5 linked regions of the Kluyveromyces lactis genome follow. The protein of the gene in region 1 interacts with the protein of each later gene in a pairwise test. Links are inferred from orthologs where the notes say so. Each region holds a gene or a part of one and is shown in the gene's direction. Other genes may lie near its edges.

Region 1 (6,883 bases):
ACCATGTCTGTTGTAACAAAGAGCTCTCCTCATATGTAGGAGCATTTTTATATGCCCCATCATTATATAATTCCGTAGTCATCTCGGATTTATGCAATTGAGAATTAATGTAGCAAAGCTCCCTTAGCGTGTAGATAGCAAGAGCCTTGCTAAGATGGGCGTTTTCCTTTGTCAACCTTTTTACTATTCTTTTGCCTTTTTCGTATGATGATTCTTCTGAATATTTCAAATTTAAACCTTTTCTTGAAGTTGATGCGACTCACCCACATATACTTTAACTAGAGATAAAGGAAGATCATTGAAAATTGTAAAGTGGTTGTAATTGAAATTGCTGGCGTGGATTAGGATCAAGGTTTACACAGATTCTAGATTTGACTCAATTGACGAGTTGTACTCCGGGACACAGCTTTTTATTATTAGGGAAAGTGTGCTATTAAACGCATCAGACGACGACCGCAAATGTTTACTGTAAGTAAGAAATCCTTACAAGCAAGTCGTAACGCTTTCAGTCCATTGAATAATAGCAAGAGAACAATCGTATTTACTGCAATAGCAGCTTTTGGAGACCTATTGATTGGGAAAGATGTTAGACTAGCAGATGCTATGGAGAAAGGGAATCTGCATAATAAAAATGGAGAGTATGAGCATAAGATGGAACAAAGGACTCAAGAAAGGTTAAATGCATTACGAAACACAAGACCGATAGAACCTAATTATGAGGGTCATGTTCCACTTTGGTGGTATGAGCGAATGATGCTCTTCGGTATCAGTGGTTTAAAATCTTATTTCCACCCGGAGAACGGTGAGAACATCGTTCAATTAGGAGAAGCTACTGCTCTACCTTGCTTTCTTGAAAGTTTAAAACGGACAATGTTGTTAGATAAGACTGGTAGAAGGATTCTACAAGACAGACCAAACATCACATCGGAAAGCCTTGACATGGAACGATTGTCAAAGATGGATAAAAATTCAGTTGGCTATACGTACTACAAATGGTTGATGAAAGAGGGGGTCTCTCCAGACACAAGGGCACCAGTTACTTATATCGATGATCCTGTCCATGCTTTCATATTTAAGAGATATAGACAATGCCATGACTTTTATCATGCAATAAATGACCTACCAATCATAATCGAAGGTGAGATTGCAGTTAAAGCATTTGAGGCATCAAACATTGGTGTCCCAATGGCTGCACTTGGTGCTCTATTAGCACCATTGAGATTAAAGAAAGTGCAAAAGGAAAGACTTTACTCCATCTACCTCCCATGGGCAGTCAAAGCAGGGCTGAATTGCAAACCTCTCATCAATGTCTATTGGGAAGAAATCTTGGATAAGGACATAGACGAACTAAGAAGAGAATTAAACGTCACACCACCTCCAGATTTGAGAAAAATTAGAAAGGAAAGAGCGAAACAAAGAAAACAGTTCAAGCTTAAGTATGAGACCTACGAGAAATGAATTTTAAACCCTCAATCCCCAAATCGTGATGGCTGGCGTAAAGTTGCTTTGTAAAGTATAATGCAGGGTCATTCTGTGGATATAGGAACCAGGAAAAAAGAAATAGAAATACGTACGTAATGAAATAAACGTCTTCAATTGAAGAGGAAAAAGATCGCCTTTGCTTGATCGATTAAAAAATATATCTATAGCTAACATCCTTGCTACGTACAGTACCACTGCCTACACTTTTATTTGCTAACGCGGTATGTTAAACAATTATGATCGAACTTCAGTACGATGTCCTCTTTCCCTCGGTGTGCTTTGCAGCCTTAAAACTGTTCTTTTTTCTTATCACTGCGTTTAGCGGCCAAGAAGAAGAAAAAAAAGAACAAAGTTAAAAACTATCCAATTTAAGACTTCTGACCAGGGCATCTCATCTCACCCCATAATAAAAGAGAAGCAGTGTCTTGTGAGGGTTTTAAGCGGAAGGGGAGGATAATCTGATATTGAACATACAAGAATCTGTTACTTCAAAGCTCTTATAGCGCTTGTGTTTAATCCTCTTTGTCCTTTTTTTTTAACTGGAAGAAGTCACTGACGCTTTCGACGAAGTGTAAACATTCAAGTTTTCTTTCGGACTCACTCGGTTGTTAACGCATTGCAACTTTTGCTTACAAGACTTTGAACCTATTTTGTCAGGTCACAATTAGCAGAAAGAGCTTACGAGATCTTGCCATTTATTAGGGCTTCGATCAGCATAATATAAGATATGTCTGAATCTAACAATATGCATGTTTCTGGGGATGGTGCCAAACAGTCGGTATACACTGAGAAGAAACGCGTGAAAGTCTATGTGTTGGAAAATAACGAGTGGAAGGATACTGGGACAGGGTTTTGTCAGGGGACAGTGGAAGAGCGTACTATAGATGACACTCAGACTGCAGAGAAAATGGCGTATCTTTTGGTGGTCGATGAAGACTCCGATGACCAGGTCTTACTTAAGTCCAGGCTCGAACAAAACATCGAATACCAGCGTCAAGAGGAAACTCTTATTGTCTGGAAGGATCTGAATGGTCAGGATATAGCTTTATCCTTTGAAGAAAGCATTGGATGCGATTCTTTATGTGAATATATTTGCTTTGTACAGAAAAACATTGAAAGCCGCATCTCTTTGGTAGCTGTAAGATCGACAGATGATGGAATCGGGTCTGTTCATGAGATAATAACAGGACCGGTCAATCTTCCCTCAAATGTACCAAACCAGACAGAAGAATCCCTTTTAGAAGCATTGAAAATTCTAAACGAAAACACGTCATTTGATTATCTGCGAAATGAGACAATTCAATTTGTTATCAACGATCACTATTTAGCAACACTAATCAGATCATTCTATCAGTCAGAAGAATCTAAACTATATCGAAATTTATTATTATTGAGCAACATTGTGAAAACTCTAATATTGTTCAACAGCAAGGAGATTTTGGAAGAGATGATCAATGATGAAAACTTTTTATGCGTTTGCGGTATATTGGAATATGATACTGAATTTCCAAACTCAAAACTTAACCATAGACAATATTTGAAAGATAAGGAGCCAAATTTCAAGGAAATGATTCCCATCTCAGATCCAACGATCAAATTAATGATTACGCAAAATTTTAGGCTTCAATTTTTGAAAGATGTGGTTCTAGTTAGATTTTTGGATGATCAATCTTTCACCTTCATATCTGACCTAATGTTGTCATACCAGAATTCCATAATAGATTTCCTACAGGAGGATAGCAACAATTTTATTAATCAAGTCATCTCGATGTATAAAGTTGAGGAGGATTCAACCGTCACCCCAGATAAAAGAAGGGACGGTATAAAACTATTACATGAATGCATCCAACTTTCCCAAAACCTAAATTCAATAGAAAAAACCCTTTTCTACAAATTTTTAATCAAGAAAGGGTTGTTCCAAGTCATCCAATTTGCATTCAACATGGAAACTAATAACGATATTCGAATCCTTGCAACGGATATAGTTGTGGGGCTCATTGAACACGATATCCAACTAATCCAAAGTGTGCAAAGTGACGAAGTCACCTTATTGAATGACGAGAATTCAGATATTGATTCTACAGATATGTCTCTTTTACTTATATTGACCAAGATCCTGCTCACTGATAAGAGTCCGGGATTGAAGGAACAGTCCTTCCAAGCACTTGTAAGTTTATTAGATCCTGAAGACTATATTGTAGATGACTATCAAAACCATGATGACAATATCGACACACGAATTGATAACATGCTTCAAATTCAGAATGGCAAAAATCATGATGGATTAGACGGTGAACGAAATCACGAGAAATTTCAGCTAGCTGAGTACTTGCAATGTTTCTATAGACAAGTTGCGCCCTCCCTTTTCCATTGCTTCATCGATGGATCTGTTAATCTCTATGAATGTGATCAACAGTTACTCATAAAACTTGTGAAACTTCTCAATCTCATGATTCAAGGTCATGAGGCATCAATATCTAGACGATTTATTCTCGAGAATGGAATTTTGATCAGGCTTATATCACTTGCTTCAAGCGATTATATCCTTCAATTAAGGCTTGCTGCAGTGCGTTGTTTCAAAAACATCGTATTTTTAAATGACGACTTCTATCTTCGATATCTTATTGGTAAGAATCTCTTCGATCCAATATTTGAAGTTTTTAAGGAAAATTTGAACGAAGATAATATGGCTAATTCTACAATTTTAGATTTCTTAAAGTCGTTAAACACTCAATTAAAAGTGGTTGAGCAGGAAGATATTCCGCTTTCCGGTAGTAAAAGTTCAAGGAATTTCATGCTGTTGAATAAGTACATCTGCGGTAGATATGGTGATATATTACTGAAGGCAGATTACGTTTCTTTCACAAGAGAAATGATGGCTATTTATCATGAGGAAACCCAAAAGCTTGCTAGTTTATCAACAACGGAAACTAGCTTTGATGAAAATGATAATACTACACTGGAAGTTGAAGTATGACATTCAGATATATCTGAAGATGTGATGCATTTAGATGCATATTAATAATAAGGTTAAAAAGAAGGAGGTTGTTGTTTTATATAGGGATAAGTATTAAAAAAACTAGGATAATATTCAATTCAAGGTCAGATCTTGCATTCTCTAATTGAAAAACAAGACTTTGAAGTTATAGATGGGAGAAAAAGAATAAGAGTTATATGATCTGTGTGTTACAGATTTACTATTTTGAATGATCCAATCACAATGTGCAATGGATTCTCCGTTAGTCAACTAATAGCCAGAAGGAGAAGGTTCTTATAGTTTTGAATCAAAAGCATAATTCAACTCTTTAGGATAAAACTCTCTCGTTATTTGTGTGCCTACATGCCAGGCACCACCGTCGACGACGTGAATAGTTCCGGTGATGTATGAAGCTGCAGGAGAAAAAAGGAACACTGTCGTGTTTGCAATATCAACTGTTGTGCCAAGCCTTTGCAATGGAATCATCTCTGACAGATCTGAGCTCGAATCATTTTTAGTGAGTCGTGCCAACCCTTCAGTGTTGGCGATAGCACCAGGAGCTACACAATTGAACCTTAATCCCAATGGTCCCATTTCTACAGCCAATGCATTTGATAAGGCATCAATACCGGCTTTGGCAGCACCTACATGTGACTGAAATGGAACGCCATAGTAATGTAAAGTGGAACTGACAAAGAGTACAGAACCTTTAGTCTTGACCAATTCTGGGAAACAAGCCTTGACCGTGTTAAAACTACCCAAAAGATCAATTGATACCACTGATTTGAAAGCATTCGAGGATAGATGTGTAAAGTCCGCCAAGAAGTTACCAGCAGCGCCAGCGATAACGTAATCTAACCTACCAAATTTTTGAATGGCCACTTTAACAGCCTCATGCAACTGATCCACATTTCGGACATCGACGCTTGAAATGGGCAAACAAGAGTGTGGATCATGGACCAATTGTCCAATCTCGTGGGCCGTTTTCCTCGTCTTTTCCGGGTTTCTACCAACGATTACAGCTTTACAACCTAAAAGCACCATTGCTTCTGTTTGTACCCTGCATATCGTTCCTGCCCCTCCGGTGACAAACACGACCTTGCCATGGAACGTATCCTTTTTCCACGGCCCATTCTCAACAAAAGTTTTATCTAAAGTGTTAGGCATTCTCTCTTATACTGTTTCTGCGTACCTCTATGCTCAATTCCTGTCACAATTCATCGAAGTGATGAAGTATATGTCCCTTAAATCTAGAAAATGTTGACCTAGCAGTATTTACCCACCAGTATATATATATACAATAAACACAGCGAAGATAATTTCAAACTAACACCCTAAGAAAAGGGCAATCCCCTAAGTTGCGAATATGTTTTAGCTTCCTAGTTGGAGATGGAGTCATTTGAATTCGATGATCATTACTTCTACTTACGGGCTTAACAAGTCTGACTATATAATTGCCATAGAGAAGTGGCATTATCAGGTTACAGCTGCTGAATAAAGAGCGGAGAAGGATGTATTTTCTGTCCGGGTAACAAATTATCCGGGTACTGATTGATCTAATTAGCTTATTAAAATGCTAGTAGTTGTTCAGTAACTCTTATACAATGCACTCCAGAAACAAAACGCAAGTTCCAACCATTATATCGCCCCTTTAACAACGTAATGATACCGGTACCGAGCTGTTTCGCAACTTTTCGAGACAGGATGTCAGGCTTCGTGTTTAATACTTTCATTTCCGAAGCCAGAAGAACATTTGTTACCCGGGCATGGGCGGCTTTTTCTCTATCTCTTTGCATGAAAATTCAAATCTAGACCTTCCGGTGAAAATCGAAATTTAGCATGTTGATTATTATCATGAGAATCAACGAATCGGTGAATGTTGTGGTTTCTGACGTACCCGTGTGTTTCTTCTGCTTCCTAGTGTGATTATTAGGGCTCAGCATCTGTGTTGTGAATCATTCGATATTTGTTACAGTATTGACACGCTTTAGAGGTTAAGTGTTGGTTCGTTAGTTTGTGTTTTGGGGTAGAACATTTGTTCGATATTGTGGCTGGAAAGCAAAAGTCAATTAAGAAGAATTGGAACTATCGATAGTGCCTGAAGTGTTAGGAGCCATCAATAACACTTTTGACAATTTAAATCAGTGAGCTGAGAATTTAAAGCTTGTGTTTCTTTTTTTTCCAGTTGATCACTACAATCATTATCAAATTCTCCGTCTAGATCCAATGTCAGAGTGGAAAGTCGATCCTGATAACAGGAGAAGGTTGTTACAGTTACAAAAAGTTGGTGGAAACAAGAAATGCCTTGACTGTGGGGCTCATAATCCACAATGGGCCTCGCCTAAATTCGGTGTTTTCATTTGTTTGGAATGTGCCGGTATTCACCGAGGATTAGGAGTGCACATCTCCTTCGTTAGATCCATC
Region 2 (7,177 bases), on another chromosome or scaffold:
CTGCTCATTTAAGTGTAACTAAAGCCATCAACGAAAGTTTAAACGGTATCGAACAGTTACAGTTAATCAATAAGTTATCTCAATGTTTGGATGATGAAGCACTATTTGAGAAAGAAGTGGTTTCAAAATTGGTTGAGCTTCAATCATATATAAATGGCAGTTCAGACATGAAATTCATGATCACCAGTGATTCTCAAGTTCAAATCGATGCAGTTCACCAACAAATCACGGGCTTTTTGAGCTCCTTACCCAAGGATTCAAAACCATGTGACTTCTACTCTGAGAATTACTCAATGTTGGAAAACCCAGGTAAACCAACCCTACTCCAGTTCCCATTTCAGGTTCATTACACCGCCAAGTGTTACCCAGGCGTTTCCTATACCCATCCTGATGGCGCTAAGCTACAAATCCTTTCTAACATGTTGACACACAAATATTTGCACCGTGAAATTCGTGAAAAAGGTGGCGCATATGGTGGTGGTGCTACTTACAGCGCTTTGGATGGTACTTTCAGTTTCTATTCTTACAGGGATCCTCACGCTTTAAATTCTTTGTCCACATTCGATAGCGTTCCAGAATTCATATTGAACAAGTCTTCGTGGGGTGAACCAGACTTGAATGAAGCGAAATTGAGTGTCTTCCAACAAGTAGACTCCCCAATGAGCGCCAAAAACGAAGGTACCATTTTATTCCATTACGACGTAACAGACGAAATGAAACAACGTCGTAGAGAGCAACTTTTAGACGTCAACTTGAATGATATACATCAAGTGGCAGAGGAATACCTCAAGCAAGATAAATCCATTGCCTCCATAGTTGGTCCGGAAATCCCAAATTTTGATGCCTTAGTTCAAACCGTGTAACGGGAAGCTCTTTCTTGTACATAATACAACCACATTATATATATATATATGTATTTATAACTCACAATACCCAATTACTAATTGTGCGTCGCAGTGCCTAGACGTACTTGCACACGGCAGAGTTATATCCCTTGTTCCTTGATAAAACTTAACATCTGCCAATATCGATCACGTGTAATCATCATAAAAAACGCGTCTTTTACGTATGGTTGGTTCTATATTTGTTTGGTTTCCAAAGATCAAAACTTCGAATTTTAACACCTTTATTGCATGGTTGATTTTCACGACAGTTCAGATCGCGAAGAATATAATAAAATATATAGGTTTCGGTTTGAAATTTAAAAAAAAAAAAAACGTATATCTAATTCTAACTGAATTCAAAAAGATACGTTGCTACGTTTGTTTCCTAATTGATTCTATCAGGAACCTCATCCGTGTTAACACTTGTCAAGGAGTGAAGCAAAGAGACAAACCATATATATACAGGCCAAAAGATGAAGAGCTTTGCTGCTTGCGTGCTTCTACTATGTGCTTTGTTCTTTGAACAAGTATTTGCTGTACGTTTCGACATTCCAGCCTCTACGAAACCGGAACAAGTCTGTATTCGTGATTTTGTCAGTGAGGGTCAATTAGTGCTCATTGATATTGAGACTGATGGTTCTGTTGGTGATGGTCAACAGTTGAATCTATACGTTCGTGACAGTAACGGTAACGAATACCGTAGGAATAGAGACATTGCTGGAGAAGTACGTGTTGTATTTACTGCTCCACAATCCACCTCATTTGATGTTTGTTTCGAGAATGTGGCGCAAGTTAACGGTAGATCTTTGAGCCGTTCCATTGAATTGGATATTGAATCCGGATCCGAGGCTCGTGATTGGAACAAGATTCAAGCCAGTGAAAAATTGAAACCGGTGGAAGTTGAACTACGTAGGATTGAAGAATTGACTGACGAAATTGTTGATGAATTCAACTACTTGAAGGGGAGAGAAGAAAGACTAAGAGACACCAACGAGTCCACCAACAGAAGAGTTAGAAACTTTTCTATCGCTGTCATCGTTGTTTTGGTCGCTTTGGGTGCATGGCAAGTAAACTACATGAAGAACTTCTTTAGAGCTAAGCACATTATTTAGAATGTTCGAATAGTTTCAATGCCTTGAATCTCAATACGATCTTCAAATATTGAATTGAAGAAACATACATCATATGGTGAGCCTTTTATACGTGTACAGTATCTATATATGGAAAATGGCATAATTTCTAAATCGGACGAGTAGAGGGGGAAAGGGATTATATTATGCCTAGACGGGTAGGTCTTTGTTTTTGCTAGAATTCTATGTTGATATGGCCACCAGTTACATTTATAAGTTTTGTACTAAGTTACTAGTGATATTCTTCCAAATGTTCCAAAGATTGACGTGTTTTTTAGGAAGTGAATTATTTAGTGGATTGCAATGATGCTAGTATCTTAATAAACCCATTTTACCAAGTAATTTGGCAAAGTCTAGGTAAGTGACAAATACCCTCTCGCCGTTCGTAGCCCAACTTACCATTGACAGGATAATATGTTGATCCATATCCACTTGAACAGCAGCCTTCTGGACATCTTTAACACTTATCACGTGCTTCCTTAGTGCAACCTTAGGGAACTGTTGCAATCTACCGGTATATTTTAATAGTAGTTCCCATTGTTTATCTATTATACTCTCGTTGTCCATGAAGATCAAGAGTCGATAAGTGACATCCAAGAGTTTTTCGAAATCTATGACGTCAATTCCATCCAAGCATAAGTCCTTGAATTCTAATAATCCGTACCATGATTTACTGATTTGTAATTCCGTATAAAAACTAGAAATATCAGCCCACTTGAATTCACCTTCTTCGGTGAAGCTTAAATATATCGATAGGACTTCATCTTCAATCTCGGTGGGCATTCTGGCCTCATTCCATCTGGTAATTGTGTCATAACTGACATCATTCTTTTTCCGCATAACTACATTATCTGGTCAGCAATGACTCATCGGTTAATATTGTCCTTAACGTAGCCAGAGCTGATGTTATATATTAAAGACTACATAAGGTACTAGCTGCCCGTTCGTTATGAAGTGATGCAGACTGATTCATCGGCTACTTAAGTACTTTTGAAATACTTAGGCGAGAGTTACCCTCTATTTGTGATCCTTGAAAAATTTCAATCTAAACTTCCCAATTTTCAATACAAAAATGGTAGTCCACGCTAAGTTGTAATGATGATCAGTATGCATTACAGTTCGCATTCACGATACAAAGCAACAGTCAGTAAGACGTCATGAGCGGTACTGCTGAGGAATCCGATAAAGCAGAGGCTGTTTCTGTACCTGAAACAGTTTCTGGGTCAGTTGAGAGTCAAGATAAGGAGCATAACTCTACTTCATCTTCGTCTGATTCTACAGATGTGGTTGGAGGCAAGAAAAGAACTATCGATGAAGTTGATGGGAGTTCTGAAAACAACTCTGCATCTGTCGATCAGTTAAAGGACGCTCCTACTGATTCTAAACCAAAGACAGAGGCTACTGAAGATAGTCCAATTAGGGGAAATCAAGGGAACAATCAAGAAAACAGTCAAGAAAACAAAGACGATGAAGATGATGAAGATGACAATGACGACGATGACAATGACGATGACGATGACGAAGATGAAGATGTCGAATCATATAGGAAGAAGCAACGTCGTGAAAGAAACAGATTCTTGGATATTGAAGCCGAAGTCAGTGAAGACGAAGACGACGAAGAAGATGAAGAAGATTCAGAACTAGTTCGTGAAGGTTTCATTACTCGCGGTGACGAAGAAGACGAAGAGGATCGTGGTGGTAGAGTTGATGACAGACTGCATAGAGAATTAGATCAAAATCTTCAAAAAACTGCGGATGAAGACATGCACAAGATCGCTGAAGACTTCAAGAAACGTTATGGTCGTGACTCTTCCAAAGATTACCGTGTACAAACTCAAGGTGGGTATGTACCTCAGAGGTTTATGTTACCAAGTGTTGATACTGCTATTATTTGGTCCGTTCGTTGTAGACCAGGGAAGGAGAAAGAACTAGTGAGAAAGTTGCTAAATAAGAAGTTTAACTTGGATAAATCTATGGGCTCTAAAAAATTAAAGATTCTGTCCATCTTCCAAAGAGACAATTACACAGGAAGAATCTATATCGAAGCTCCAAAACAATCTGTTATCGAAAAATTTGTCAACGGTGTTCCAGATGTCTATTCTAATCAAAAGCTTTTGATTCCCGTGCAAGAACTACCTTTACTATTAAAGCCTACCAAGTCAGATGAAGTGAGACTTGATGTTGGTTCTTATGTTAGAATTAAAAGGGGTATTTATAAGAATGATTTGGCAGTCATTGATCAAATTAGTCAGAACAACTTAGAAGCTCTATTAAAGATTGTACCCAGATTAGACTACGGTAAAAATGACGAAATCGACCCAGATACAAATCAGAGAAAGGCAAAGAGAGCAACGTTTGCTAGTAGGCCTCCTCCTCAATTATTTAACCCTACTATGGCATTAAGGTTAGACCAAGCCAACTTATTCAAAAGAGATGACAGGCACTTCACTTACAGGAAGGAAGATTATGTTGACGGTTATCTTTTCAAATCTTTTAAGATTCAGTATCTTGATACAAAGAATATCCAACCTACGGTGGAAGAATTATCAAGGTTCGGCAGTAAAGAAGGTGATGTCGATCTAGCAGCTATTGCTCAAACTATGAAAAAAGCTCAAGCTTCTAAAGCTATGTTTCAACCAGGTGACCGTGTTGAAGTGTTGACCGGGGAACAACGTGGATCTAGAGGTGTGGTGACTAGAAGTTCTAAAGACGTCATCAGCGTTAAACTATCGGGCTTTTCAGATAAATCATTAGAGTTCCCAATTGCATCTCTAAGAAAAATTTTCGAACTTGGTGACCATGTCACAGTAATAGCTGGTGAACATGAAGGTAACGCTGGTTTGGTTCTTTTGGTGCAGAACGGTCAAGTCACATTTGTTTCTGACCAAACTAGAGAAAATTTGACAATCTCTGCGAATAACTTGAGTAAATCTATGGATTCTACTCCGACATCAAGCGAGTACGCTCTACATGACATTGTTGAGTTAAGTGCCAAAAACGTGGCATGTGTGATCCAGGCTGGACATGATATTTTCAAGATTATTGACGACTCCGGTAAAGTGGCTACTGTTACTAAAGGCTCAATTCTTGCCAAGATCAATGTAGCAAGAGCGAAAGTAGCTGCTGTCGATGGTAATGGTAGAGAAATAAAAATTGGCGATGTAGTAAGAGAAAAGATCGGTTCCCGTAGAGAGGGACAAGTACTCTACGTTCAAAACCAACATATTTTCATTAGATCGAAAACAATAACGGAAAATGCCGGTGTTTTCGTTGTTAATCCAATGAATGTCGAGGCTGTCGCCTCAAAAGAAAACTTGATGTCGTCAGCATTGGATTTATCTAAAATAAATCCAAATATTGCGTCTAAGATGGGACCACCACAAACTACTCAGCAGACGCGGTTAGTTGGCCGTGACGTCGCTTTGAACAAAACTGTTAGGATACGTTCTGCGGGATACAAGGGGCAGTTGGGTATTGTCAAAGACGTCAATGGAGATAAGGCTACTATTGAATTGCACTCCAAAAATAAGCATATTACAATAGACAAAAGAAAACTTACTTACTTCAGTCATGAAGGTGGTGAAGGTATAACATACGATGAACTTGTTAGTAGACGTGGTAGAACTCCACATACCAGATTGGGCCCAAGCTATGTCAGTGCACCAAGACACATGGCTGCCGGTGGTGCGGTGGCAACGAACACTCCGCAACAACTTCCTGGTGGAATGACTCCTGGTTGGAATGCATTTGATGGCGGTAAAACTCCTGCGGTTGGCCAGAACGGAGGAACTTCATCCTGGGGTGGTGCTTCGACATGGGGCGGACAAGGCCCTGGTGGTGCTTCTGCCTGGGGTGGAGCTGCTGGAAACACTTCCACCTGGGGTGGGCAAGGTGCTACATCAACTTGGGGTGGTGCGTCCACTTGGGGTAATAAATCTAGTTATGGAGGCGCCTCTTCTTGGGCAGCAAGCGGAGAATCAGGAGCAGCTTCTGCCTGGGGCGGTGGCAATAAATCAAGCTATGGAGGTACTTCTACCTGGGGTGGTAACCAGGGAGGTGTCTCTGCCTGGGGTGGCAGTGGTAATAAATCACAACGATCTAAAAACACCGGTGGAAGTTCCACTTGGGGTAACAATCAATCGCAGCATAACTCAGGAGAGAGATCCGCATGGGGCAATGCATCCCAACACAACAATAGCGGCAATAGATCTGCTTGGGGTAATCAGGATGCTAGAGGTGGTGGAAGTACGTGGGGTGGAAATAATTAGAAATAATCATACAAGTTATTGCCTCACGATAATTTACAAACCTATCAATTGTTCATCTTATTATCTCCAAATTACTCCACGCGATGTGGATGTTGTATATATAGTCTTGCCCAAATTAGTCTCAGAAACCAATTAAATAAGTGAATTAAGTAAATGTAATTTAGTTAAAAATTTCGTTTCTTTACTACAAACCGATACTACTATAGAACTCTTAAATCACGTCTATTTCAACGGTAGTTATTGCAGTGTGAGTGTTTTCTATATACATGCAAATGGTGTGGTTAAATTGTTAAATACAATTCATTAACGTCTTGCGGTACGTAAGAAGTCCAATGGTTTCCTCTCTGCAACCTTTCTTTTCTTGGCCTCTTTGAACAAAACATGACGTTTAGCTACAGGGTCGTACCTCACCTGCGTCACTAATGGTGCAGCTCTATTTATCGTGACATGACGGCTCACACCTGTCATAGCAGTTGATATCAGTTTGATAACTGTAGTCTTTGTCTTAGCCTTGGCCATCGTTTTCCTGTTCGTTTGCAGTTTATATATGATATCCTTAGCTCTGTGAAATTCCTTGAATTTGAATTTGAGACAGAGAAGTACGCAGGATAATATTACTTTCTGCCCTTAATACTTTCCGATGATACACCGTCCTATGCAGAAATTGATGAACTCCCACTACTTTCAGTATTGATTGGGTCGGATACATTGCTAAAGAAGAAGTAATGGATAATCAAAATTTTGTCAAATCACTACATACGTTTTGATGAATATGCAATATACATAAAAATGATCCGTACTTCATATCACGTGAAACAGATACATATTCACAAGTCAAGTTAAGTATTCGCATATAGTTACTCTACGCTTTTATCAACAAGAAGGTATTAACTGA
Region 3 (5,657 bases), on another chromosome or scaffold:
GCAAGCTCAGTTTAAAAAAAGCAGAGATTGTTCGAGGAAGTTTTTGTCTGGGGTTGATGGGTTTTGTTTTGCGCTGGTTTTGTGTTTTGCGCTTGGTTTTCTTTGTGGAGAAATTTTAGGCACTGGAGAATCTACCGTAACTGATGGTAACCTCCGATGGCTAGAGTTACTTCCCCGATGGTATGGAGAGATGCTCTGCTTGGATTATCTCCGGTGCTGCTATTCCTGTATCGGAACAACTCTGGAACAATTTTGGACAGTTCGGAGGGGCGGTACTGGGGCATTTCTCATTTATTGCTTATAGCATAAAGACAAGAAAATGCATTCAAGGTGCAATGATTTACCTCAGCGTGTTTGTTTAAGTTTCACCAAGCAATGCATACAGTTGTATAGTTTGCGATTGGTAGGCTATATTTTTACTATGTACCGCGTAATAGGCAAGTCGTAGGGGAATACTTGAATGTTTCGATTCTGTATAATGGTTTTTTATATCCTTGTGGTATAAGGCAAAAATAGGAAAAATAGCCACGATAGGAAGAGATGTGTGTGTACGTCCAGGTGTTCATGAAAGAAAGTTGCCAGCTTGATTTATTGCAAGCTCGTCAATTTTAGTGGATCGAATGTTTTTAGCGATTGAACCCCATGCAAACAAACAGTAGGAAAATCTCTCAGTACGCTGAAGTGAATGAGGGGTACCAAACTTTAAATTCTTGATGAAAGGAAAGACTACGGTATATGACATTACCCGGCCAATAACTCACTCTTGCGCGCTAATCCGAGCTTGCTGCATGTCATCCGATATCTCCCGAGATACACACTTGGTGAAAATTGGACAAGTAAATGTCTCGTCTCCATCTCCATGCCTTTTTTTTTAAATTAGTGTTTTCACAATCTTCGGATCCTGCTATTGGCTTTCCCCACAAATTTTGGTTATGTTGCTGCTCCTTCTCTTCAGTCAATAGATGAACGAATTTCGTCCTAATTACCCTGTATGTTTGCCTTAATTTTTTCGTTCAGCAGCAGTAGCATTTGTTATTTCGTTTCATATTGACAATGGCGTTTTTACTGATCACGTGTATTAAGTTTTAGTTTACGTTTATATATGTGTGTATAGTAACGGCTATATGCTTGTTGAAGTAGTGCATATCAGTCAGCTATCCCTCTACGCTTTGATCTCTTCAATTTCTTCCGAATCACAAGCATCGGTACTGAAGTTATGAAATTTTGTAATGATGCCAACACCGTTTGCAACGGAATAATAATCGACGATGGCTGCAAGGAATGTGCCATCTCAGTGAGTAATTGTTTCGGATATGGATGGTACATTGAACATATTAGGACGTCAATTTTGTCCAAGGTTCCAACTCCATTGGTGCATTCGAATAAATAATCTATGTGATCGCAAATTCGATTCATTTGAAATAGCATATCGTTGGTATCGTCGTCACATTGGTTTATGATGTACAAAGTGTCCCCATTAGTGAAAACAGAACCGAAAGAGTAAACTAAGGCGTATATTTTCTCAGCAAAAGATTCATCCATTTGATCCAAGTAAACAACGAACGAGTGGCCTTTCTCGCTCGTTGCGGCGGTAATATTGTCTCCTTTGCTCATATGATAGACAGCTCTATGTATTCCGTGTTGAATTTCTTCCAATTTGATATCTCTTTTGTCTGCTTCTGTTTTAATCTCAGCATTCTTCGCTAGCCATGGCTTCATAGAGTCGAGTACTTGGGTAATTGGTGTAACAAAGTTCGGTAAAACTTTACAACCTAAATCATAATCAATGTGTTCATCAATTTCTATTTCATTCTCTACATCACTCACTTGTTCCTCCTCACTGACCTCACCATCGTCTTCTCTATCTTCTATGAATTCCTCTTCATCTTCATCTTCATCCTCGTCACCACCATTTTCTTGTCCTGGAGATACGCTATCTCTAGTGTTTCCTTTTTTGGCCTTCAAATGTAACCTTTCTGAAGGGTCCTTATTCAATATTGTCCACTTCAGGTAGGCTTGGTCCTTTATACTTACTCGACTCGCAGACCTTGATATCGATCTGCTTGATGATATGCCGGTATCTCTTGTCTTACTCCGGGACCTACCTCTTTGCTCTGGTTCCTCTATCTTTATAGTTGGAAACGCTGGAGGCGCAGCCAGATGCTTATCATCAGTTAGTTTCTTATTCAAAATACCTCTTCCAGGTTCTTCCATGTCTAAATATGTTCAATGGCTCACTTGTAGTATACTTTGTCTGCGACCGGAGATTGAAGCTAAGTTGATAGTTATTTCAATGATGTTGGATTAAATATTCGTCCTGTGAATTCAGTAGAATAGTATTAGCTGTGATACAAAAAGTTAAAATTATTTCACAGGTACAAGCTAGTGTCGCGGATAAAGAAAGTAAATGTGTGACTGGTGACTTGTATTAGGAATCTTTTCTCTGGTGTGAAAACATAGCAGTATAATCGTTTTTCAAGGTTATTTTGGCTTTTTATTTTTATCATATGTTTTCATATCACTTCACAATTTCAGTGCCTGTACTGCGAACGCTTAAAAAAAGTTAGAATTCTACAGACTGAAATGCTAAGAAAGGATATGAAATAGCAGTTTCTCTTGTAACTTTTGGGGAGGCGATCTTGAAAACTAATACCTTCCTTGTAGGACGTATCAAATATTGCATTCTAATTATTCTCCCGCACATATTTCAAGCTGCAAATATTAAATCGAGAGTTGTTATGATATAACGGTGATAAATAAGGGATAAGAAACTAAGAGATGGACTTTGATTATGAGAACGCCAAGTTCTCAATGCCAGAGAAAAGAATATTCGATAGTCAGGGTACCCTTGACTTCCAGAATTCAGTCGCAATGGTTAGAATACAATATCACTTGCAGAAGTATATTACGCTTTGTAAGGGCCAGCAGATACCAGATACAATCAAAGAAAGTTTTTTCACTAATATCGTAGTGGAACTACTCAAAAGGCTGTCTGCCTTGATAGACGAGACACCTCCTGAGAGAATGCATAGTAGATATGGAAACCTTTCATACAGAGATTGGCAAACGAAGTTTCAAAACCAATTGGAGAATTGGTTGCATGAGTTATTGCCCGAAAAGTACAACAACAGCATCATAGAACTTTCATATTACATATCTAATGCATTTGGATCGAAGGAAAGAATTGACTATGGAACTGGTCATGAATTGTCCTTTTTAGCTGTGATAATTTGTTTGGATATGCTAAAAATTGAAACAATAAAGGGGCCGGCGCTACTTTATTGTTTCAATTCATATTACGACGTGATTCAGAAACTAATCTTAACCTATAAATTGGAACCTGCTGGGTCTCATGGCGTTTGGGGGCTAGATGATCATTTTCATTTCTCATACATTTTAGGAGCCACTCAATTGTTAGATGTGAATACTTCTTTAATACCAAAGGATATTTCTAATACTAGATTGATGGAACAAAACAGCTCTAGCAATCTATTTTGCAAATCAATACGATTCATTAATGTCGTAAAATCGGGCCCATTTTCCAATCATTCTCCTCTACTCTACAACATATCAAGGAGTGTTCATACATGGCACAAGATGCAACAGGGTTTGATTAAAATGTACAAGGTAGAAGTTTTAAATAAGTTTCCAGTCGTGCAGCACTTTTGGTTCGGAACCGCATTTTTCCCATGGACGAGTTATGGTAACAATCACTCTTTGCCAATATATCAGCCTGCAGAAAATAACGACGATGCTGATTTTTTGACTGCAAACAATGCTACTACGAAAATGCCTCCACCTTTGAGTACAAGCACATCTAGGTTTATACACAGACGTTAACACAGCATATATGGGATGAGATTAAAGATCTATTTAACCTGCTTTTATTCTTCGCTTAAGGATGATATTAATGATTTAATTCCTCCCATAAATAAATAGTATATCCAGATTAAAAGATACTAAAGCGTATGTATGTACTATAACCATATTGATAAAGGCTGTTAGTGATAAATTAAAAAGGACGAAAGTAATAGAAAAACGAATGAGAAAAACCCCAAGATATCTGTAGAATTTTCTTGTTATATATGTAGTCGAGAAAAAGATAGTTTCTAAATGCAAGAATCAAATAATCCGAGCCAATGGTATGTGTATTATTGTTAGTTGGTTTTTTATGAATCTCAGAATTTTATATTAATAATAATGAACCGGCTACGGTTGAGATAGTCTGGTTGAAGGTAACGGAAAAAGTGAAACTATGTTGAAGAGAAAATATTACTCAATAATATTTCACTCTGCCTCTTTTCGTTATTTTGGTATAGCACTTCTGTTGAGGACATTGTGATTATAATTGCGGACCAGCAGCTAAGACTTGTTCGGTAGCCTTATCTTGGTAGGTCTTGAAGTTTTCTACAAACAAATTAGCCAATGACTTGACATTTGAAGTGTACTTAGCTTCACCTTCAGCCCAGTTCTTACTTGGATTTAGTAGAGAAGCTGGAACCTTGTCACCCACAGCCTTTGGAATTTGCAAGTTGAAGATTGGCAAAACTTCATACTCTTCCTTAGCCAAAGAGCCATCGTGGATGGCATCTAGGATAGCTCTGGTGTACTTCAAAGGACAACGCTTACCACCAGCAACGTAAGAGGAACCAGTCCAACCAGTGTTGATTAACCAAGCGTTAGCGTTATGTTCGGCCATCTTTTCAGCCAACATTGTAGCATATTTCATTGGATGTAGAGACAAGAATGGTTGACCGAAACAAGAGGAGAAAGTTGCTTCTGGTTCAGTGACACCTTGTTCAGTACCAGCCATCTTGGAAGTGTAACCAGAGATGAAGTGGTACATAACTTGGTCAGGGGTCAACTTGGATACTGGAGGCAAAACACCTGAAGCGTCACAAGTCAACAGGACAATGTTCTTTGGATGGTGATCAGCTAGACATGGGATTTTAGCACTTGGGATGTATTCGATTGGGTAAGCGCATCTAGTGTTTTCTGTGATTGTAGAATCTTCGTAATCAACTTCTCTAGTGTTAGGATCGTAAATGATGTTTTCCAAAACAGAACCGAACTTGATAGCGTTGAAAATTTCTGGTTCCTTCTCGGCAGACAATCCCAAACACTTAGCGTAACAGCCACCTTCAATGTTGAAAACACCATGATCGGACCAACAGTGTTCATCGTCACCGATCAACAGTCTATGAGGATCAGCGGACAAGGTAGTCTTACCAGTACCACTCAAACCGAAGAACAAAGTAACGTCATTATCTTGAATACCTTGGTTGGCACTAGAATGTAAGGTGAGGACATTGTGATTTACAGGCATCAAGTAGAACATCACAGTGAAAATACCCTTCTTCATTTCACCAGCGTATTCGGTACCCAAGATGACCATTTCCATTTGCTTGAAGTTAATTTCCACAGTAGTCTTAGAAGTCATACCGGAGGTATGTGTGTTAGCAGGGAATTGACCAGCATTCCAGACGGTGAAGTCAGGTTCACCGAAATTTTCTAGTTCTTCCTTTGATGGTCTGATCAACATGTTCGTCATGAATAAGGCATGGTAAGCTCTAGCACAAACCACTCTGACCTTGATTCTGTAACGAGGATCCCAGCCAGCATAAGCATCAACAATGTAAATGTGATCCCTAGTTCTC
Region 4 (6,049 bases), on another chromosome or scaffold:
ATGACTTTCGGATCGCATAAAGAAGTGAAGCATTGATGTAGGATTAAGGTTTCCAATGCGATGAGAGAGTTGAGTTTATCACTTCATTTAGAAATTGTGTAGAGTGTATGCAACTCTTATTGAGAGTTTTTATGAAAATTGATAAATGATAAGATATAAATACGCAGTAACATTTTTCTCGAGTGTATGTTTTGTTGTCTTCCTCGGATTAACTACTGATGCCAGGTTAAAGCTAATAACATCAACTCATGATAAGCTCGCCCATTGCATAGTATTTTGCATTGAAACCGTTCTGTTTACCATGATGTTTGAATGTGATACCGTACAGTTGCCGGCATTCATCCCCAAAAGACTACGATCAAGGAATTTGGCTGCGTACGAACCTTTTTCCATGAACAAATATCTATTGGCATTTATTGTATGCTGCGTATGTGCCAGTACGAGCAGTGAATTTGCACAACAGTTCCTCTCACGAGGAAAAAGGTCCTTTGATGTAAACGATATTTTGGCCAATTTTTCGGGAAGTCTGCTGGGCCTAGGAATTGCATATAAGATAGAGCAACAAATTCAGCATAACTATGAAAATCGATAACGTTCATTTATATTTCACGTATACATATGTACAGGTTTATTCAAGTAAATACAGTGGAGGTTGGAACTTTGATCATTTTAGGTTAATGTAAGCTCTGTGTGCAATAGCAGTCTTATGAATAGAGTCTCTCTTTTCGAAACCTGAACTATTACCGTTGAAGACAGATACCAATTCTTCACCAAGTCTTACTGAGAAATCGCTCGATGATCTCTTCACAGAACTTTCCACAATCCATTTCCAAGCTAATCTAAACCTTTGTCTTTGATTCAATGGAACTGGAACCACAGTGGCCTTTGCGACACCAGTCTTGAAGGTCTTGATAACCATAAGAGGCGCCAACACATCCAAGGATTCTTTCAAAACTTTTACCGGGTCTTTCCTTGTTTGACAGAACACAATATATAACGCTCTTGAAAGAATCTTCTCAGCTCTTTCTCTTTTCCCGTGTCTCATAATCATATTCGTTACATGCTGTAAAACTGGATCCTGTTTTTTTGGAATGGGAACTTGCTTCAACGTTTCCCATTCATTTATTTGCTCTTGACTTGGCTCAAAGCTGGGCTTGTTCAATTCCATAGCCTTCTCCAAGATATTAATTCTAGATTGGTTACCTGGTGCAAGGGACGTAGCTGGGTTATAATCTTGTTGCGAAAACTCTTCTTCTAACGATCCAATAACTTTCAACCATTCATCAACCTGTTCGTCGCTAAGGCTAGCTAATTTCTCCCCTGTAGACGCATTATTATTCACAGATTGACTTTGGAATCTGGTTTGCATGGTCGGTATACTGGCAGCATGTACAAGTGGACTTCTTGCCAAAACGTTAGCATGGACGTGACTCAGACTAAACCTTCCTGCTCTCAACATACTGTACAATTTCCGTTGAATAGATGCCAGTGTACACAAGGACCACACAAGGACACACACAATACAACCAGAACCTATTCAATCTAAGAGTAACTCTCATTAGATCCAAATTCAAGCTTACTTCACCAGAATATGATGATATTGAATTTGGTTTGAAAATCGTAAATTTTTTTGATCAAAGGTTCAGAGATGAGCCAGTGTGAACAGTGTTACCCGCATAAATACACGTGACTACTAATGATCTGTTTCTATGTGCCGTTGGTAGTTTTGCCTGTCAGTGCATTGAGCACAAGCTTGCCAAGAATAATTAATGATATTATATAGACTGTACCTTATTAGACACCTTAGCCTTTAATATTATAGTAAAGATGTCGTTGATCTATTTTGTATTCAGGTATGTAACTATAGTATCTTTAGAACTTCCGTACTTAAGTGTTAAAATTCCTGCCGTTCTTAAGTGAAATCCTTTAAATAATATCACATTTCGTTACGTGAAAAGTTGGTGAAATTTGTTATATGCGCACAATATTATGTGAAATGATAAATAAAAGAAATTTGTTCAAATAACATGTAGGTTTCTAAGCTACAAAGATAGAACGGTCAATCAACAGACTAGAGAACGAACTTTATAAGGCTGCTGGCTGAGCTGGGATTGGCTAACCGTGTACTGTCTATTGGGACTAGGTGTTACAAGTCCGTTGTTTCATATTATTTTCCGAGACTATCCTTTTTATCTATTCTATATCTGCCAGTTTGGAATAAAAAAGGCATCGCTCATACTGGACTTATTTGTGCTAATTAGAATACCCCGAGAACACCGATCTTTCGTTAGTGCCATTTCAAGGAGATCTAACCAAGTGTAATATTACTATACCGTAGAATTTTTTTTTTTTTGCCAGCCTTTCCTACTATCAGCTCATTAATCAGATACATTGTCAATATGATGGGAATAAAATCCAGACATCTATACGACCGTTTGACTAAAATAGTTATCGATAAAGATCTAAGCGCGTTTAACGAAATATCGCCTTCGCAATTGATCCCACAGCTATCTGAACATTTCAGCATAACGATACCGAAGGAGATCTTCAATTATAACGAGGACCAAGAGGAAGACCTTTTACACAGATTGAAAGAGCTATCGAGGTACCTTGTTGTGAAATTTGCAAAAAGAGATAAGTATCCGTTCACGATTCAACGGATATGCGAATTATCTTACCATCCATTACAATATTTCCCTGTGCACAGTTTGCAAAAGTTTGTGTCGGCCATGGAGAAATGTTGCTTGGTGAATACTGATTGGACACCCAGGCTGGGCAAAGAGTGTCCAAACACAAACCCAATGGAAGATGTTTCTCTGATACCTATTGAGTGGATCCGCACGAATAAAGAAGATGAGAAGTCTTTGCAGGCGTTTATTTCGAAGATTGAAACTATAGTGGCTGTAAATTTTGGTTATGATGACTTCGACGACGACAATGAAGATGGTACAGATCATGACATCGGTCGTGGATATGATAACCATGGCGATGTGCTCATCGAGGAATACGAGGAAATGGATGAAGAATTCGAAGATGAGGACTATGAGGATCACGAAGATGAAGAAGAAGATGAAGAAGACGAAGACAACGACAGTGACGTCGACGAAATGGAAGCAGAAGAGGTGGAAGAGGATGCAAGTGACGACATCTCTATAGGCGAGATAGCAGAAAATGATGACCAAGATAATGCACATACAGATGTTACGGACACTCAGCTTAAGTACAATGGCGTTCCTATCGAAGAAGAGCTTCGATTATCTTCAACAAGTAGCGTTTTATCCGTCAGTTCACACGCGGCCAATGAAGATGAAAATGAAAGCATTCTTTCGAGGAAAAGAAATGTCACCGAGTTGGATGATTATCAGTACAAAGAAACCAAGGAGAATGATGGCTTCATAACAACTCCAAAGAAAAGTAAAATGCCCTTGAACGAGTTTGGATCATCGTCATCTATGGTATCCCCCGTAGTATCTAATCAGGAGGATCCATCCAGAAACGATGATTCAAGGATAAATACATTCATTTCTCCAGATACAACGAATTCAGTAACTCAAGCGGAAAAAAATGAGTTATCTACTAGTCCGTTGCAAGACAAAAAAAGAATGTGATCATGCAGCGCATGATTACGCAGTTATCATCAAGAAGTTCCACGCTATTATGTTAGATACAGAATAAAAACACAAGGCCTTAATTTAAGAATTCAGTTAGTTTTTTCATACATATGAAATAAATATAAATAAAGAGTTTATTAATATTTCCCGTGATACAAGGAAAACATAAAGGTCACTCTTCTTAGTATCAAATGAATATATCAGTAGGTTATTTCAGACAGGATTAATTATAATAATTTGATGTTTTTTTTCAGGTTTCGATATAGAAAGTAGAGTGTTGAATTTTTTTTTTAGGATGACTTGAATACCGCAATTTCCAGATTACCTCAAGAGAAAGTCTTGATGGTTAAAATGTATTCAATTGCTCACCAGTAAATGACAGTATCATAAATAAGGACATTGAACTCATATTTTTGTTTCGACGAATAATGAGCGAGATTTTGATTTATTTCGATTTAGCCTAAATTTTCAAATATCATTTGGAATTAAAAAATACATTATGTTCATTAAATGTATTGATCTTGAGGAGCTGTGACAGAGCGAAAAATCGAATGCGCCAGTAAACACCCTAGACTTTAGTCCAAAACAGTAAAATATTGATATAAATCGATCGTGACAAATTTCTTTTTTTGGGGGAATATACACACATGAAATTAAACTGTAACTTATTACTCATCGAGTGATATGGTTATAACAACTCAAAAGTAAATGTTACAGGGAGTAATTCTACTCAGTCGAGTAGAAAAGAGAGAATTGTTTTTAGAATGACCGTCGTGAAATGAGAATATAATATAAAAAGAATTGTTAAAATATCTTAAGACTCGGCTTTTAGTTTGATTACCATCTCATCATACTCATGTCGTTTCTCATTCTGACGTAGTCCAACAAGTCTTCAATCTTACCAGTACCGGCAACAGCGATATCTTGATCCCATAATCTTTCGGAAGCCCAAGCCTTAATATCCTTGGAGGTAATTTTGTCAATCTTAGTGAAGACTTCAGCCAAGGCTGGCTTAGCACCCAAAACCAAGGTTTGAGCACCCAACAAGTTAGCAGCAGCAGCGTTGGTAGAAACTTGAGAAGCCAACTTCAACTTTAACAAAGACTTAGCACGAGCGACTTCAGTTTCGGTGACAGAGATGGACAATCTGTTCCATTGCTTCAAAGTGAAATGGACAGTTTCATCGATGTTGTGTGGGTCGGTGATGGTGGTTCTGAAACCCCACAAACCGGAGTCCTTATAAGAGACAGAGAAGTGTTCGAAAGAGTCACACAAGTGGTATTCGTTAACTTCGTCGATCAACTTAACACCTTGTAGGTTGGAAGCTGGTTCAGCAGCAACGAAAGTACCGAAGACTTCAGCAGCGACTTGAGCAACATAGTATTGTGGAGAATTGATAGGTTCACCTTCAGCAGCGATAGATACCCAAGCCTTTGGTAGAGTATCATCTCTTAGTCTGACTTCAGAACCCAAGAAAGTGGACTTCTTCTTTGGCACTGGTTTGTCACCAGATAGCAAAGAAAGCTTAGTTTCAACAGCCTTGACCAATTCATCGTGGTTAACGTTACCGGTACCAACAATAACAGAGTTGTTTGCCTTGAATTGGTTTTGAACGAAGTTGGACAAGTCGATGTTTTCCAAACCTTCTAGAGTTTCGACAGTACCTCTGACTGGCAAAGACAATGGAGTGTTTTGGAAAGCAGTGGCGTGCAAGTGTTCGAAAACACGTTGTTCGTGTTCAGTTTCTTCGAACTTGGCAACAGTGTCTACAGTAGCTCTCTTGGAACTTTCGAAGACGGAGTCCTCAATTGGAGCGAAAAGCTTGGATTGCAAGAATTCTAGAGCCTTAGCATATTGACCTGGTTGAGAGTTAACAATGTAAGATTGGTGGTCTCTGCCAACCTTGGTTTCTAAGGAGAATCCCAATTTTTGAGCATCCTTGATAGAAGAGTTGACAAAGGAGTTAGCCAACAAGTTGGAAACACCGTTGTTGTATGGGTTTTCGGCAGTAGTACCGGAACCGAACACCAAACCGACCGCAGCAGTGGCAGAGTTGCTGTTTGGTTCAGTAGCAACAACAACACCGTTAGATAGTTCGGTGACGATGGCTTTTGGGGTAATTTGAGTGGCAATGGTTCTCTTCAAGATTGAAGATCTAGTAGCGGTTCTCAACATCTTTCTTATGGCAAATAATTGGTTATAATCCGTTTAATCAATATAGTGTGTTGAATTTGTACGTGCAAAATAAATAGAATACGGGATCAAAAACAAGTCAATGAGCTCCCAAATGTAATACCTTCGAAGTTATAATTCTCGTTTACTTTTTTCCTTGGAAACCTTTCTGTTGGTATACTATCGATTCAAAAAACAGTATAGTGGTATTTCACTGAAAAAAATATAAAGCAAAGTTTGGATAGTTTTTAGCCTAACTGAATTCT
Region 5 (6,913 bases), on another chromosome or scaffold:
TTCACAAAACCTTTCCGCTTGCTTAAAATGATATCAGATGAACCAAGGTTAGTAAGAAGGGATTCACTGGCACCTCCAATTACGATGGCTATTGAATAATTTTTCTCAAGTACTTTCATAGCATTTTTTCTAGCGACCGATGTTATGCCTAAGGCCAATAAATAATCACGGTACACTGGTATTTGAAATTGATTTACCAAAGTAAGCAAACACACTGGAATGCCTGGGAAAACTTTACTCCAATTACATGCCTCGGTAGCGAATGCTCCAAACGCTCCGAATGCTGCTATACCATGTGGATGGTAGCCAAAAATATACCTCGGTCCTGTTGGTCTAACAGTTTCATCCTTTTCTCTGAAAGGATTCCACCATTTATCTGGTAAAACGGGCTGTGAGCTATCCAGGTAGCCTGGCTCACTCGCATCATTTTCCAGCTCTGTGGAATCAATACTTGTAAATGTTGGCTCGAGTTCAGTGCTTTTGTGCATACTTATAGGGAAGTAATCACGGAAATAAAACCAGACCTTTAGAGATCGGAACCACTTGGAGTGTCTCTTCACAGCGTTCCCATTGGAGGCAGTCCGGTCTATGAAATAATAAATGGTGTATGGTATTACAAACGACCACATCAACGGGTTAACCCAAACAAACAACATTATGATGATCATTAACGGAATACATTCGACATACCATGCTACGCTGAGAGTTTGAAGTCTCCTTTCTATGGGCGTATCAATAGCACAAAATTCTGGTTTCCCATCTTTGGAGACCCCTACTACAGAAGATTTACCATTTGCCACGGGTTGTGAACCCTTGCGTACCTTTTTAGTTTGTCTCTTTCTGATTTGTTCCTTACCCATCTTGTTCCAAGCCTCGAAGTAACTTTAATTACCTAGCAGCGAACCTTCTCAAAGTAAAACAGATAAGCTGATATTTACGTCTATTCTCAGAAGTAAATGATATTAGACGTTCAAGTTCAACAAAAAATGAACCTGCCCAGCTTTTGTCGATTAATTGTATCTTTGTTTACTGAGGCAAAACATTGCCTGATGTCGTTTTCCTGTTTTAAAGCAACTTTTTCCCTTAAAATAAAACTGTCAAAATCGTAATTTAATTGAGATCACTGAATCTTAACGTTGCAAGCTGTTGCCAATTGTACTGGTATGCACCATACCTATCAGTTTACATGGTTTTAGGGAAGTAATGATGGGTAGTTAATTTAACAAAAATATTATGTAGAGGAATGCATCTTTCCTATACAATGTCCAATTTATGAACTAGTAGTAAATATAAATAGACTTCAAAATCTGACGCGAAAGACTACTGAGCCCGGCTCTTGTATTTAAAGGGTTTCCTTGGGAAAAACTAACGGATGTAGTAGACTTTTTATCCAGTCCTGATTCTGGGAACAGGTCATTTAATTAGCAGATAGAATGGTAAGAAACTTAACATAACGTTATGGAGGTATGTGAGATTAATAATTTACGATTTTGTTATTTACCGTAACATTACGGTTAAAGTTGACGGTATGATTTGAACCTTCACCAGTAGATCAAAGCTGATATATAATTTTACTACATAGCTATCTCGTTGAAGGACATTATTGCAGTATTAATAAAACGAAAACTTATATATATCATTTCTTCAATCGGTTATGGGGAATTGTCTTAACGAATGTTTTAAACATGAATAGAACCTAGTTTTTTCAAGAAAAGGCTCTAACAGTTCAAATACAATAACGTTATATGAGCAAAATGCAAAGAATTTCTGAAAATTCGGAGTGTTATGCTTGATAGCAACCATATCGATTTATAATCTTTACTTCCATCTATTGATAAGTAAAGATTTTAAAGTCTTTGTAGCATGACTGGAGTTAGAATAAGAAACAGCTGATACAAGTTATTCAACCATGGTATTTACTAATTGATGCCATATGGATTGTTGCAGTATAAACCGGCTTCACATAGTTCTGAAGAAGATTCGGCACCAATCACCTGATGCCGCAATGTGCCATAATAGAACTTCTATCAATGATTCCGTTCTATTTACTCAAATTCCCACTCCAACGTTGTAGCAGTGCCGAGTAAAGACTGATCCATCTTTGATCATTGGCTTTGTATATATGTATGTACTTTTACGCGTCATTGTAATATTTAATGTTCATCGAATATTTACGCGATTTAAAGGTTGACATTTTTCTGAAATAATCTGGATCTTTGAATTGCAAAAGCGATCATACACATTATGAAAGAACGATTTATTCCATTATTCATTAGCTTTGTGTTGGCAGTTTAGTGGGTATACACAGTCACAACCGACTATAGAATAGCACACTTGTGAAAATCGTTCTATATTGAGGCATTAAGTTGTCCCTTTGAGGTTTGCCGTTACCTTTCCCAGCCTCTTTAGAGATCAACTGATCATTGCTGTGCAAACGAAGATATTGACATGGATGATATAACGCAACCGACACAACAAGCCACTCAGGCTACACAGAAGTACCTAATAGATAAGTTTTCTCAGGAGAAAATAGACGACGATGTGGTGTGCAGAGTAATATGTACAACTGGTCAAATAAGTCTACGGGACTTGAAGGTTCAACCTGAAAGTATATTCAAAAAGGAATCATCAATTAAAAAAACATGGACCTTTGGAAGAAACCAAGGATGTGATTATTATCTGGGGGATATTTCAAGACTGTCCAACAGACACTTTATGCTAATGCTGGGTGAAGAAGGAACTTTAATGCTGAAGGATACATCAACCAATGGAACATGGTTAAATGGAGCGAGGATACAAAAGGATACGAATCACATCTTGACCCAAGGGGATGAAATAAGTGTTGGAGTCGGCGTTCCCAGCGATGTCGTTAGTTTAGTGATTTTCATCAACGATAGTTTCAAAAATAGACTAAAAGAACTCAATATGATGAAGGATGTGACTTCACCTGCTTCATCTTCAAAGAGCAAATATCAGATATCAATGGGACATACAGAATTAAAAGGAATACACAAATACTATTCGATATCAGATTCGATTGTTGGTCAAGGTGCTTTCGCTACTGTGAAGAAAGCTGTCGAAAGGTCAACAGGCAAAACATTTGCGGTCAAAATAATTCATAAGAGAAAAGTAATGGATAAATTTGATGGAGTGAAGAGGGAACTAGATGTATTGCAGAAATTAAATCACCCCAGGATAGTTAAACTTAAGGACTTTTTTGAAGACAATGATAATTATTACATGTTGATGGAGTTTGTCAGCGGAGGCGATTTAATGGATTTCGTAGCAGCCCATGGAACTGTAGGCGAGGATGCCGGCAGAGAGATAACACGACAGGTTTTAGAGGCAGTAAAATACATGCATGATCAAGGAATTAGCCATCGAGACTTGAAACCTGATAATATAATGATAGAGCAAGACGATCCAGTTCTTATAAAGATAACCGATTTTGGCCTGGCAAAAGTACAAAATCAGAATACATTCCTGAACACTTTTTGTGGTACTCTAGCATATGTTGCACCTGAAGTTATAGACGGGAAAAATGCTGAAGATAAAACTAATCGAGATCTGTATTCCTCACTTGTTGATATGTGGTCAATTGGATGCCTAGTTTACGTTATTCTTACAGGTCACTTGCCTTTTAGTGGTCAGTCTCAGAATGAATTGTTCAAGCAAATAAAACGGGGCTCTTATCATGAAGGACCATTAAAGGATTATAGAATATCCGAAGAGGCAAGAAACTTCATAGATTGCCTGTTGAATGTGGACCCTAAAGAAAGAATGAACGCAGGAAAGGCCCTGCAACATCCATGGATGAAAATGGCATACGTTGATAGCATGCAGTCACAAATATCCATCTCACAATCCTTGTCCCAGCAACAATTTGTTGACAGTATGAATGAGGCTGAATACGAATCATACATTGCGAAAAAGAGGTTAGAGATTATCAAGAAAGAAATAACGGCGCCTGCTGCAGAAACTAATAAAGAGCCTGTATTCAAAAAACCACAAATTGCACCATCTAAAATTGCACAATCCCAAAACTTGCAGTTTAACTTTTCAAATCCTAATACTGGTAAAGCTATTAATGTTAATTATAAATCTGGTGAAGAAGGACTTTCAAACAATAAGAACAAAAAGATCAATAGACCACTTACAAAGGTCAATGGGGAGGGGCTATTTCTCACTTTGCATTCCTTACCTGGCTCATCTATTTCAGGTAAGGTCCAAGTAAAACAAGGGATAAATCCATTCTTCATCGGTAGGTCAGACGAATGCAACTGTAAAATTGATGATAATCGTTTATCTAGGATACATTGCTTCATATTGAAGAAAAGACACGCTGTCGGTGACAGTATTTATGAATCTCCAGCTCAAGGTCTTGATGATGTATGGTATTGCCAAAGTGGTACTAACTCAAGCTATGTTAATGGAAAGAAAATCACTCCGGGCACAAAGATCTTACTTCATGATGGCGATGAAATCCAAATTATATGGGATAAAATCAATGATGTCACTGTTTCTTTCCAGCTTGAGTTCAATGATACCACTGGTTTGTTCCACGAGGGGAAGCTGGATACCAATGAGAAAACAAACAAGACACTTCTACATAAACAGACACAGGAGGAGTTAGCTTTAGTCCCTAAGTTTATGGAATTTATGAAGTCTAGATCATCACAACATGCCAAATCTAATATAAACCAGTCCTCTTCCAGTAACATAGATGCCAACTCGCAAAATATCGAGGAATTAGATTCTGTCGTTGAGATGAACTCGACTACAGGATTGAAAAGAATACATTCAGTGTCGTTATCTCAATCTCAACCGCAGACAACCAAAAGGGCTAAGCTTGCCCAAGCCCAGAAACCAGATATTGAAGGATTTCTCTGAGCTGATCATATGCTTGCCGGATGGGTTTTGCATACAGTAAATATGAAAAATAGGTACACTTTGAGTATGCTAGATAGACTTTTCAACGTTAATTGATGTAATACTAATACAAATTGGTTCAAAAGCACTATAGACCAGCAGTCAATAACACTAGGTAGAAAACATGCTGTGTTCGCAATAACATTGTTGAGAAATTATTGCTGGCAAACATTCGTTACAAACCTATATTTTTCGAAGAGTCATAGGTTCAGTAATACTGTTCAGAATTTTCATTATATTAAAACTACTCGTCCCTCAGTCATGAGATCTCGTATTACACTATAACGTATTACGTATACTGCCCCGATTAATAAGTAAATTTCTTCATTTAAATCTTCAATAATCACTGAGTAACAGTGTTTTCCATCATCATCGGTCGTTAATTTCGAATCAATACCACTTTCGTCAACTACCCCACCACAAACTAGTATAAATACAGTTTTATTCCAATCGGGTTCATCAATCATACTGATGGAACCCTCAGTATCGTTAACGGCTTGCAGTTCTTCTGGTAAGTGCTTAAGTACTGCGTTGTTAAACAGTTTTAGTAATATGTCAGAATGCTTCATATGGTACTTCACCTCTTCTTTGGACATCAATAAATCTAGTCTGCTGAGGCCCGCATTATTGGGTAGTTCGGATTGTTGTCTTAGGTAAATGCTGTATTTGTCAATTTTGCTTAACCGGCATCTGATGAAAGATCGAACTAGGAACTTCAATCTCTCAAGTTCTGCTTCCATGCATAAAAGTGGTAGCTTTGAATCGACAGTTAACTCTTGATTATCTTCTAAGTATCCCATTGATAGTGTTTCTATTAGTTCAATTCTTTCTTGAATCCTTATTAATGTCCTAGTCATGAGATGATGTGGATATGGAAGCAGCTCCGGACTCATACGTTCATTCTTCCAATGTGTAATTAGCTTTTGATAGTCGTCAATTTTGTTAAACTGTGTGGGAGCCACAGGGTCAACCGCCTTATCTGCTGGTCTTATCTGAGAGACATCATTGCCTTGAGTTCGATCGCTTTGGTCTGGGTATGAAGAAGCATTTTGTTCAACAGCTGTAGTGTCCCTATCCAGCTCAGCTAGAATGTCGTCAATATCAATGCTCATTGTACTAAAGAAATATGATCCTACCACCAGGACTCAAAGCGGAGGAAGTGTTCGGATAGTACACCGGGGTGGCTTTTATAATTGCTGTAAAGGTGTATTCAGACAAGAAGGACTTACTTGCAATGTGTTATCCTCCAACCTATTGTGAAATTCATCCAACTTACTGTAACATCGTATTTTTGATAATACTCAAATCTTATTTATCATCTTTTGTTTACGCTTAACAAATCCATACATGAAGCAAGATAAAACGCGTCAGTGAAGAAGCGCTCATCAGCAACACCAACCTCAGGGGGAATATACCCAGAAATATGGACAAGAATGAGCGCTTACAGTTGATGAAGCAGAAAATAGAGGCTCTTCAGCTGCAAAGGAAAAAAATTGATTCGAAACATGAAGAGATAGCAGATTGTACCCTTCCGTTCATTTCCCATATCACCAATTCCATAAATAACAACGAATCTGAAGTCAAGAAAGAAGTAAAAACTGTTGAGATCTCAGTGCAAACAGATGATGTAAATGAGTTTGAATTGAGCGCTGTTAAGGAGGCTGTGATAACATATGATATCGGAATACAGACAGATGAATATGACGGGAAACATGAAATTATGGAAGATGGACATCTACCTTCCCAAGATCTTATAGAACAGCAAGCATCGACTTCAGATATTACAGAGACCAAGGAGGATAAAGAAGTTGTTGAAAAGGATGTGTTTGATTTCGGAAATGTCGTTTCAGCGGAAGACTACGCAACGTTGAAGAAAGAAACATTTTCACTACAGGAGACTATAGAAGCGGCTGCGCTCAAGTCATCTTCTCATCAAATCGCTGGTGATGGGAAAATAAGCATGTATTTATCAATTTCACCAAAA

What was found.
Region 2: the proteins of PSY2 (region 1) and SPT5 interact in binary tests that used the Saccharomyces cerevisiae proteins (3 or more experiments, as listed by UniProt). The link is inferred for Kluyveromyces lactis from reciprocal best matches to the Saccharomyces cerevisiae genes PSY2 and SPT5.
Region 3: the proteins of PSY2 (region 1) and RRD1 interact in binary tests that used the Saccharomyces cerevisiae proteins (3 or more experiments, as listed by UniProt). The link is inferred for Kluyveromyces lactis from reciprocal best matches to the Saccharomyces cerevisiae genes PSY2 and RRD1.
Region 4: the proteins of PSY2 (region 1) and PSY4 interact in binary tests that used the Saccharomyces cerevisiae proteins (3 or more experiments, as listed by UniProt). The link is inferred for Kluyveromyces lactis from reciprocal best matches to the Saccharomyces cerevisiae genes PSY2 and PSY4.
Region 5: the proteins of PSY2 (region 1) and RAD53 interact in binary tests that used the Saccharomyces cerevisiae proteins (3 or more experiments, as listed by UniProt). The link is inferred for Kluyveromyces lactis from reciprocal best matches to the Saccharomyces cerevisiae genes PSY2 and RAD53.

What each region holds. Positions count from the first base shown.
Region 1 is NC_006040.1:1,587,875-1,594,757, forward strand, and holds PSY2 (Psy2p), read left to right. Parts: upstream 1-2,209; coding exon 2,210-4,459; downstream 4,460-6,883. Other genes in the region: RAV2 (Rav2p), read right to left, coding at 1-82; ubiquinone biosynthesis protein COQ4, read left to right, coding at 460-1,458; SPS19 (2,4-dienoyl-CoA reductase (NADPH)), read right to left, coding at 4,754-5,626; SPS18 (Sps18p), read left to right, coding at 6,686-6,883.
Region 2 is NC_006038.1:67,347-74,523, reverse strand, and holds SPT5 (transcription elongation factor SPT5), read left to right. Parts: upstream 1-3,171; coding exon 3,172-6,282; downstream 6,283-7,177. Other genes in the region: CYM1 (pitrilysin family metalloprotease), read left to right, coding at 1-863; ERV25 (Erv25p), read left to right, coding at 1,358-1,996; RAD33 (Rad33p), read right to left, coding at 2,324-2,854; MRPL39 (mitochondrial 54S ribosomal protein bL33m), read right to left, coding at 6,586-6,801. UniProt on the Saccharomyces cerevisiae protein: The SPT4-SPT5 complex mediates both activation and inhibition of transcription elongation, and plays a role in pre-mRNA processing.
Region 3 is NC_006037.1:35,988-41,644, forward strand, and holds RRD1 (peptidylprolyl isomerase RRD1), read left to right. Parts: upstream 1-2,778; coding exon 2,779-3,840; downstream 3,841-5,657. Other genes in the region: IMP21 (Imp21p), read right to left, coding at 1,147-2,214; phosphoenolpyruvate carboxykinase PCK1, read right to left, coding at 4,343-5,657. UniProt on the Saccharomyces cerevisiae protein: PPIases accelerate the folding of proteins. It catalyzes the cis-trans isomerization of proline imidic peptide bonds in oligopeptides.
Region 4 is NC_006041.1:508,895-514,943, reverse strand, and holds PSY4 (Psy4p), read left to right. Parts: upstream 1-2,399; coding exon 2,400-3,608; downstream 3,609-6,049. Other genes in the region: KLLA0_E05765g (uncharacterized protein), read left to right, coding at 146-592; RSM7 (mitochondrial 37S ribosomal protein uS7m), read right to left, coding at 665-1,459; ubiquinol--cytochrome-c reductase subunit COR1, read right to left, coding at 4,449-5,786. UniProt on the Saccharomyces cerevisiae protein: Regulatory subunit of the histone H2A phosphatase complex, which dephosphorylates H2AS128ph (gamma-H2A) that has been displaced from sites of DNA lesions in the double-stranded DNA break repair process.
Region 5 is NC_006042.1:1,024,106-1,031,018, reverse strand, and holds RAD53 (serine/threonine/tyrosine protein kinase RAD53), read left to right. Parts: upstream 1-2,448; coding exon 2,449-4,890; downstream 4,891-6,913. Other genes in the region: DGA1 (diacylglycerol O-acyltransferase), read right to left, coding at 1-860; DNA replication protein SLD5, read right to left, coding at 5,163-6,041; PAC11 (dynein intermediate chain), read left to right, coding at 6,353-6,913. UniProt on the Saccharomyces cerevisiae protein: Controls S-phase checkpoint as well as G1 and G2 DNA damage checkpoints. Phosphorylates proteins on serine, threonine, and tyrosine. Prevents entry into anaphase and mitotic exit after DNA damage via regulation of the Polo kinase CDC5.